Sus scrofa: one gene and its partner. The protein of the gene in region 2 binds, or shares a complex with, the protein of the main gene of each other region. Links are inferred from orthologs where the notes say so. Each region holds a gene or a part of one and is shown on either strand. Other genes may lie near its edges. The genes, in order: FERMT2 and ITGB1.

Region 1 (4,434 bases), on a different chromosome or scaffold from region 2:
CTTTATACGGCTCAGACACAAACTGCTGATTTTCTAAACTAGTAAAGTCTCTTATAAAGCAATAATTAAGCTGTTTCAAATGCTAAGAAATGGGGCTGTTATATGCAATGTTATCCCACCCCCTGCTCCCTCTCCTTTAGGAAACACTCAGAGAAGTGGGCAGCAGTCAGAGAAGTCGGCGAGGTGGTGGGAGATTGTTCAGAAAGTAACTCACTGAAGAGTGAGGCAAGAACCAGAATGTGGAAACTGAGTAGTAAAATGGTTTCTTAGACGACAGTTGACTTCGACAAATTTGTCGGAAGGAAAGGATGTGCATATTTTTGGTTCTGAAAGGCATGTTTGAGAAACCATAGTTATTCGGAGCTTATGGGAGCACTTGCAAAGGTCTTAAGGTACAATTCTTATCTTCATTCCCGGCTCCATTTTAAATCTCGAACCCTTGCTTCCTGTCCTTTTTTTCCTCCTTGTTTTGTGCCATGTATGCTATCTCAAAGTTTATGTATCCTTATACATTGCCACACATCCCTGCGGGGATAAAGTGTAGAAATAAATATGTAGATTTACAAGTCAGGACTTCCCCGGTACTGAAATATCTCCATGGGGCAGAACTAGTGTGTCCTGGACATCTGTGTTAATTTGATACCAGCATGTTTTCCATTTTCTTTGTGCAGTGCAAAGAATCTGAAGTCCCTGCTATCCAAGAACTTATAATTTACTGGGGGATTTTAAAAAACACATAAGGAAACCCCCAAAAGTCCTGTCCAGGTGTCCAATAGCTACTCTATCAGTTGTGTCTATCGTTTTGAATGTAATGGCATGTCCATGGAAATTGATATGCTGAATGTAATTCAAGGCAGTAACAGACAAGTCTTGAATGCAAAGCCTGAATGAAAATGAAGAAGAGGGAAAAACAAAACAACAACAAAAAAAAACTCTTATTATCTCAACACCAGAGAGCTTCTTAATATTTTGGTGTATTTCCTTTCAGTCTTTTTTCTCTGCTCTGAATATTTAAGACAAAATATGCTCGTGATTTTACAACTACATGTACATATTTTTTAACCCTAACAAGTTTTTCTCTACTTTATTAAAAAACATTTTCCTCGATATTTTCAACACCGCAATTTACATAGACGTTCCCTCCTCTCTGGTTGTCCATACTGCTTCCAAGTGAATGATTTGGAACATCCATGAGTAGAAATAGAGATTAGAGACTACAGACTCGAGGCATCAATTTCTCCATGATGAGTAGCTGAAAATACTGTAGTGTTTTACCCTATTTTTGGTGCCAAACCTCTGGCATCTGACTAAATTTCGCTGCTTCTCTTTCATTCTTTTATGGGTTCCACCCCTTTCTTGAGGCCTCTAACCTCGTTTCCCAATTGTGTTGCTGAACACATCGTTGTTTGCGGGGAGGGGGAGGTCCTCTTCGAAGAGACTGACACAGGTTCAAGAAGACTTTGAGACTTTTAAAAACTGGGGTCTTTTATGGAATCTGGGACATTTTATCCGAGTCTCCCTGACTTAAATTTGTTGAGCCATGCTTTTGCCAGCGAGGCACTTTCCCCCGCTAGCTGCTTCTGACTGGCTCCCTCTCCCCAGAGTGTGGCAGTAAAAGGGGGAAGTGGAAGAAAATTGGGAGCAGGAGGACCGTTCTCCATCACTGGTCAGCGTCAACAGGTAAAGCTCTTTATTTCTTCCAGTACCTGCTGGCCCCGGTCCGGAGCTATTAAAATTCCTTCAAGGTGTGGCTGAGGGTGGGGTAGAGGATGTATATCGATCTAAACGCCTTAGTAGACTGTTAGTTCTAAATTGCATATTTAAAAACATACAAATACGTACAGAGTTGAAGAGGCTGCAGAAACAGTTTTCGAATAAAACTCACTTCCCTGATTTGCACTCCCCCCCCATACGAGCATCGTAGAACCTATGTGACTCACTTCTGGTTGGAGCTTCCTAATGGGTTAAGAGCGCAAGCAAACTCTTAGGAGTCCAGTAGGAGTTGCTGGTTGTGCCGGACATTGCTTGCAAAGCAATTTTTGTGGTTCAACTCCCTTTGGGTTTTTTCATTCTTTTGTCGGATGTTCACGGAGCTGGCTTGGGCATTTACTTTTTAAAAGTTTTTATGTCCCCAACCCCCAGTTCCAGCTCCCGGAGAGCGGCACCTCTCATCGCCCCGAGACTTTTGGGCTCGCTCCAGACGTGGGGAGGGGGCGGGGGACTTTGTTCCCTGAAAACGACCTTGTCCTGGGAATTTCCTGTAACCATTTCTCACGGACCGGCCCCCTCATCCAGCTGGAAGCCAAGACACCCGCCGCCGCGGGCGCTCGCCGAGCCTGAGACCCGAGCGCTGCAAGGAGCGCCCAGCGCCCACCCGCGCTGGGTAGGAGGCTTCTGCGTTCCCCGAGCTCCCCCTCCTCAGGTCCCGCCGGCGAGAGCCCGGATGTTGGACTCAATCCCTACGCCGGGTCCTTCATTTCCATAAAAGGGCAGCGGATCGGCGGGGCCGAGATTGCTGCCACCGCGGGCGCCCCCCGCCTCCCCCGCACAGCTCGCTCCCCCGCCGTGCGCCGCCCCGCCCCCCACCCGGGAGTCCAAGCGGCTCTGGCCCCCAGCGGGGCCGCTGGGGACTGTGGGGGAGGGGCGAGGCGGCTGGACCCGCTGCGGGCAGCTCCGCGGGGCGGGGAGGAGGGAGCTGGCGCGCCCGGCCTGAGCTGGACTGGGATTGAGGGGGCGGGGAGAGAGGGGTGGAGCACGGAGGGAGAGGCGAGGGGCCGTGAAGAGCGGACTCCATTAGTCGCTCCGGCCGGGAGGCAGCGCTTGCCTGCTGAGGTGGGGACCCGACGCCGCCGCTCGGCGAGCCGCCGCCCCCGCGCCTGTTGCAGCGCGAGCCCGGGCTTGGGAGCGCGAGGAGCTGGAGGAACGCGCGGTGAGGGGCCGGGCCGGCGGGGACTGAGGAGGAGGGCGGGTGGGGGAGCGGACTGTGCAGTCCGCGGGCGGCGTCTCCCGCCCTGGGTGCGGCCGGCAGGCAGGTGAAGCCCGCCGCGGTCCGCTAGGCGAGGGCCGCTAGCCTGAGGCCGCGCGGGGCTGGCGGGCGGGCTGCGCCGCGTCCGCCAAGGGCCGCGGCGGGGCGGGAGCGTGGAGCGGCCGCCGGGAAGCGGCGCGGGGCGCAGAATCCTGCCCGCAGCAGGGCCTGCGGCCGCTCTCCCGAGTTGGTGCGGAAACCCTCGTGTCTTCCACCTTCTCCCACCCCGCGGCCGACTCTGCGAATTCGGTGGGATTTGCCTTCCTTTGGGGGAGTGACGCTGACGAGAGCCATTTCCTCCGTGCTCGCAGGAAGGAGCCATGGCTCTGGACGGGATAAGGATGCCAGATGGCTGCTATGCGGATGGGACGTGGGAACTGAGCGTTCATGTGACGGACCTGAACCGCGATGTCACCCTAAGAGTGACCGGGGAGGTGCACATTGGAGGGGTGATGCTCAAGTTGGTGGAAAAACTCGGTAAGTAGCATCCCAGCCGCGTCAGAGTAACGACTTACCAGACTAGAGGCGGCGGGCGGCGGGTGGGGGAACTTAAGGCGGGAGGAGGGGTGAGTTTTGGAAATCTTCCTTGGCATCCCGAAAATACTGTTTTTAAAAAAGTGTAACATCTTTCAGTATTTAGAGCGTTTTCCCTTTGAATCTTGTTTTGTATTGTTATTCTTTGAAGTTTTCATAACGTGGTAATTCCAGCCTCCCAGTTAATAAACTTAATTACCTAAGAAAACTCCTAATTCTTTACATTTAGCGATTTCACATTAAAAGAAATGAGAAAAGTGGGCAAGTGAATATTGAGAAGATTATATCACAGGGTTTGTGGTTATCGATTACTATCATCAGTGTACCTGAATGTTGGTGACATTTGGTTCTGAGGATGATGTAAAATCTATTTAAGAACAAATTCTGCCGGAAAATGTGCAACTTCTGGCGCCAGTATGATGGTTTTGTAGCTGTACTGCTACGTGATGGAGTATATTAAAATGTTCCAGTCATCCACTCTTTCAGGGGTGGGGCATTTTTTGACTATCTGTAGTCTAGTCTTTAAGCTATTTTGAGCGGTTTTATGTAAGTAAATAACAAGCTAGTGAGGAATTTTCTCTGTGGCTCAGGGGTAAGAAACCTGACTAGTATCCATGAGGACGAGGGTTCAATCCCTGGTCTCGCTCAGTGGTTTAAGGATCCGGCATTGTCGTGAACTATGGTGTAGGTCGCAGAGCTGGCTCTGATCCCAGGTTGCTGTGGCTGTAATGTAGCTCTTATTCGACTCCTAGCCTGGGAGCTTCATATGCCACATGTGCATCCCTAAAAAAAAAAAACCCAAAAAACACCAAGCTAGTGAAAGAATTTTGTTTTAAAAAAACAGACATTCTTGAACTGATTCGAGATAGACAATA
Region 2 (4,284 bases):
CCCCCACCCTTAACTATAGGATTATTTTCTGAGTCTGGTTTGTTTTGAAACCAAGTCCATTTGTATCCTCTTTCAGATTACACAAATAGGGAAACATGATTTAGTCCGTTAACTTTGGTCATCTATTAAACGGGAAAAATCATTCCCATTTCTTTAGAGGTTCCCAGAGATTACCTAACCAACAGATTTGATTTTGCTGGTAAGCAATGAACAAAGTTTCCATAGATGGGATTGTGTGAGCTTCTTTTAAGGTTGGCAGCTAAATGGGCATCGCGGCTTCTAATCTCCCCCAAATGAAACACTACTTCTCCATTTCACAAATCTCATAATTCGAGTTCTATTCCCAACAGGGTGCTCCAGCTCACCACGTGGCGAAGCACATTTTCTGCTAACAGGATGGCAGCCTGCCAGCAGCATAGTCAAAGTGACTGGGTTTCAGTATGATGCCGGTTGGCACAGGTTTCATTCCTCTGATTAAGAAGTGCCCAGCCTTGCTCATAATGAAATGTTTCTCTTCTCGTGTTTTAAACGTCCCTTCTTCTGCAGCCCCCCAGCCCACCTACTAAAAAAACTGAGGATAAACGGAAACCGTATCAAGGAGGAAACTTCCTTCTCATCCGCGTTCCCCATAAACGGACGTCCAGATTAACCTAACAAAAGCTGCTCTCCAATTTACTTTTTCTCTAAAACTTTTCTCTTTCTGGGTCCCCATCTCCTCCCTAAGTCTCCCCCTTTCTCAAAGACGTAAGTCAGGCAAATCCTCACGCCAGAAAAATACTGGCTTTAGCTCCTTCCCTTCCAAAAGGAAAACGTCTTGGGCCCCAGGAAGCCCTGCAAGGTGCGTGATTAAGTGTCTTGATTTGCGGGAGTCTCCGGCGGCTCCCTGGAGGCAAGGCTTCCAAGGTTCAAAACCAGGCAGTCCCGGGCAGGACAGACGTGCGGCCTTAGGAAAGCAGCACCTAAGACAAGGCAGGAAGAAGGCTCCAGAACTTCTCACGGGAGGAGATTAAGGCGCGCTGGGCGGCGCAGACCCTTCCTCCCTGGGCAGCTAAGGAAACTGAGGCACGGCGAACGCTGCGGCAGAGACCCCCACCACCGGCGCCCGGCAGGCCCGCTCCTTTGTCCCAGCGGCCGCCCTCCCCGCCCCTCCTCCACCTCCCACCCCGCGTCCCTCCCCCACCCCCGCCGCGCGGGCGCGGCTGACGCCGCCCGGCAGGAATGCGCTTCCGGAGGGAGAGGGCGGCGGCGGCGGCCTGAGGAGCTGGATTGCCGCGCGGAGGAGGCGGTGCCGCGGGGGTCGTTTCCTGCCAGGAGGCGGCCCCGCGTCGCCGAGTCTCCTCCTCCCGCCCGCGAAGGAGGAGGAGCTGCCGCCGCCGCGCCCGCGCCGCAGCCGGGGAGGCCACGCCAGCCCTCGGACAGGCCGAGCGGGAGTCGCGGAGCGCTGGTGGAGCCGACCGCGCGGGCCGGGCGCCGCGGGAGAAGGTGGGCGCGGGCGGGCGGCGGGCTGGGTGCGCTGCCGGCCCGGGGCCCCGGGGCGCGCGTGGGGGCCGCGGCCTGGGGGCGGATTCCAGCCGTCGGGCGGGGGAGGAAGTCGGGCCGCGCCCGCTCCCGGCTTCGCTCTCCGACTGTCCGGCCGGGGGAGGTGGAGGGTGCGGGCCGGCCCAGGACGCTGTCCGCGGGAGGCCGCGCTTGCGGAGGCCCGGGGCCAGGATCCGCCGCTCGGACACCCGCTGTGGGCGCCACCCCGCCGGCTGGGCGCCGACAGGCCTTCGCGGGCCGGCGTCCTGGGAGCGGCCTCGGCCCCGCCGCCTTACGCGGCGGGTCGCGCGGGTGCCGGGCCTCCGCGCGGGGACAGCTCCGCCTCGGCTCCAGCTCTCCGGCGTTGCTCGGAGAAGGGGCGCGGGGTCGGGCGTCCTGTGGGCCCCTTTCCCCCCGAGGCTGGTTGTGGGCGGCGGTGCGAAGGGCTAACCCCAGCCGCTGCCTGATTCGTGCGGTTGCTTAGGCTTCATAACAAGTCGTATTTTTAAGAATGCCAGTATTTAATGCCCAAGTAATTCTTGTTTTATCGGATGTGTGTTTTGGATCAAAATCTAGCGCTGGTTGGTTTGGTCCCTAGTAAATTAGACTCTTTAAGGTTCCATTTCCTCTGCTGTAAAATGGGAGCAATACCGACACTAATAAGAAAACGTAATTGTTATAATAACGGCATAAGTGAGGGCCATGCTTAGCTCTACACACTTCACCTGTATTTTCTCGTTTAACCCTGGATCTGAGCCGACCAGGTATATGCTGTTTTTATCCCTGTTTTCCAATTGAAACCGACACACCAGGAGCCTGGGTGATCATCCAGCTGTAGTGAGGAGAACCCATGGGGTCTAGCAGACGTTGTTTGAACCACAAGTAACCTTGCATAAGTACCGTGTAGTGAAAAGCTAATGGAAAATGGAAAACACTTAGCTTAGAGTAGATGCTCAATAAATATCAACTCCTTTTCGTTCCTTCTTGTTTTTTTTTTTTTTTAAAGTATGCCTGTAGTTGATAGCATCATTAGTAAGGCGTTTTGGAGTCTGCGTTCCACATAAATATTTAGGGGAGTAGAGTTACTGGAATGTTATTTTTTATTGTTTTGGTGGTACAAAAATAACCAATGCTAAATGTTTTGATGAGGCATCTTTCTTCAACTGCATGCAGCCTTTCCAACAGGTTGCATAAATAGACCACTTGAGAAATGATTAAGGGATTTTAGTTGCAAGTTACCTATTCTAAGTCTGTGAATATCAAGGCCATAGGGAGGGTCAGGGCTTATTTAAGAGTCCTACTGTAATGTTCATATTTGAAAATAATTTTAGTCCCTTGTTTAATAATAAATGAGTGAAGAGGATTAATAAATAGAAAACACGTGAAACAAATCAGTGTTCTGGTTATAGATGTCTGAGGAGACAAGACATTTTACTCACCCTAAAATTCAGTATAAAATGGAAGATGTTAGAATGCTAGTTTAAAAGATAGGGGATGTGGTTAATACTTTACTTCTGTAAATAGAAAACAAACTCCAAATCAAGTCATCTGTGTTGAGGTCACAGACCTAAACATTTAAGCTTTTGTAATGTTGATTCCTTTTAGAAGAATGTTAAAAAATACTCTATATTAAGATTGTTTTATAATCCCGTCAACATCCTGCATGTGAAAAGAATCGAATCAGCAATACTGAAAATCACTGGATTCAGGTGGCTTTTTCCTCAGTTTTCTGGTCGGTATAATTAAAAGCTGCCCCAAATTAGCATCACATGTATTTCTTTAATGGGGTGGATGAATTCCTAACTCCTGGAGGGACTCTGGGGCTGTAAATAGTGAAAATCAGTTTAAGGTGGTGCTAGTTTTCATGGAATGATGGCCACTTAGTAGCTTTATTGTTTGGTTTCTTGCCAAATTGTGGCTTCTATCATCAAGGGGTAATATTCTATCTGAAGGAAATATATGTTTTTAATTATTTCACAAGGACACTGGTTTGTTCTCTGCTGGAATGATGAGAGGACACATCTCTCTGGTAAAAGTTTCAGAACTTTTGAGTTCTGAGAATGGACATTTCTGAATGTGTAAGAAATTGAATTAGTTATCTGAGAGGATTCATAGGGACTGATTGCCCCACTCTGGATGGAGAGGTAGGATCTGTCTGGTTGTGAGTAGATTCCTAGAAGATCATATTGTGCACGTAGGTAAATGTCTTGTTGTATTAGCAGGTCTACTCTGACTGTGATGTGTTGTGGGGTTTTTGTCCTTTTATATTGTTGCACAGGTGGGGGTATTGGGGTAGGGAGGATGCGCCGACAGGCGTGAGAGTAGGGAAGAGTATATTAGTCTTTAGAACCTGAAATGATAGCAGCATCTATAGCTGTAGAAAACTGCATACATTAAGAGTATGTATCTAGGCTAAAGGAAGTGCAATCCCTATAAACCCCAGCCTTAGAATATTTCAATAGATGAGTGAAAAAATGTAGTATATCTTTTTCAGAAGATGTATGCAAAAGGAGCCAAGCTATACTTTGTGAATTTCTCATCTTTTTTTAAGACTAATTATCTTACACAGAGTTAAGTTTTATATATAAAATAAAAGTCAACTGCCTTAAAGCTGTATTTTTGGTTTGTGGCTTTAGAAGACAAGGTTAACTGTATCTAGCATGGTGCTGAAGCATGTGTATATCATGTCATCATGTAATGTGTGAAAAACTGCTTTGAATATACCTAGTACATACGTATATAAACACACACGTAATTATAGGCCTA

The links.
Region 1: the proteins of ITGB1 (region 2) and FERMT2 are in contact, whole or in part, in a crystal structure (PDB 8TEE), measured with the Mus musculus proteins. The link is inferred for Sus scrofa from reciprocal best matches to the Homo sapiens genes ITGB1 and FERMT2. Residues at the interface, in NP_034708.1 of Mus musculus: Ala786, Val787, Thr788, Thr789, Val790, Val791, Asn792, Pro793, Tyr795, Glu796, Gly797; in NP_666166.2 of Mus musculus: Phe609, Ser610, Asn611, Met612, Lys613, Gln614, Trp615, Asn616, Val617, Asn618, Trp619, Glu620, Ala629, Asp630, His647, Ile654, Ser657, Thr658, Lys674, Leu675, Ser677, Gly678.

What each region holds. Positions count from the first base shown.
Region 1 is NC_010443.5:182,603,861-182,608,294, reverse strand, and holds the start of FERMT2 (fermitin family homolog 2), read left to right. Parts: upstream 1-1,404; 5' UTR 1,405-1,680; intron 1,681-2,274; exon of another isoform or gene 2,275-2,383; intron 2,384-2,721; exon of another isoform or gene 2,722-2,929; intron 2,930-3,336; 5' UTR 3,337-3,345; coding exon 3,346-3,502; intron 3,503-4,434. UniProt on the Homo sapiens protein: Scaffolding protein that enhances integrin activation mediated by TLN1 and/or TLN2, but activates integrins only weakly by itself. Binds to membranes enriched in phosphoinositides.
Region 2 is NC_010452.4:56,127,567-56,131,850, reverse strand, and holds the start of ITGB1 (integrin beta-1), read left to right. Parts: upstream 1-1,339; 5' UTR 1,340-1,482; intron 1,483-4,284.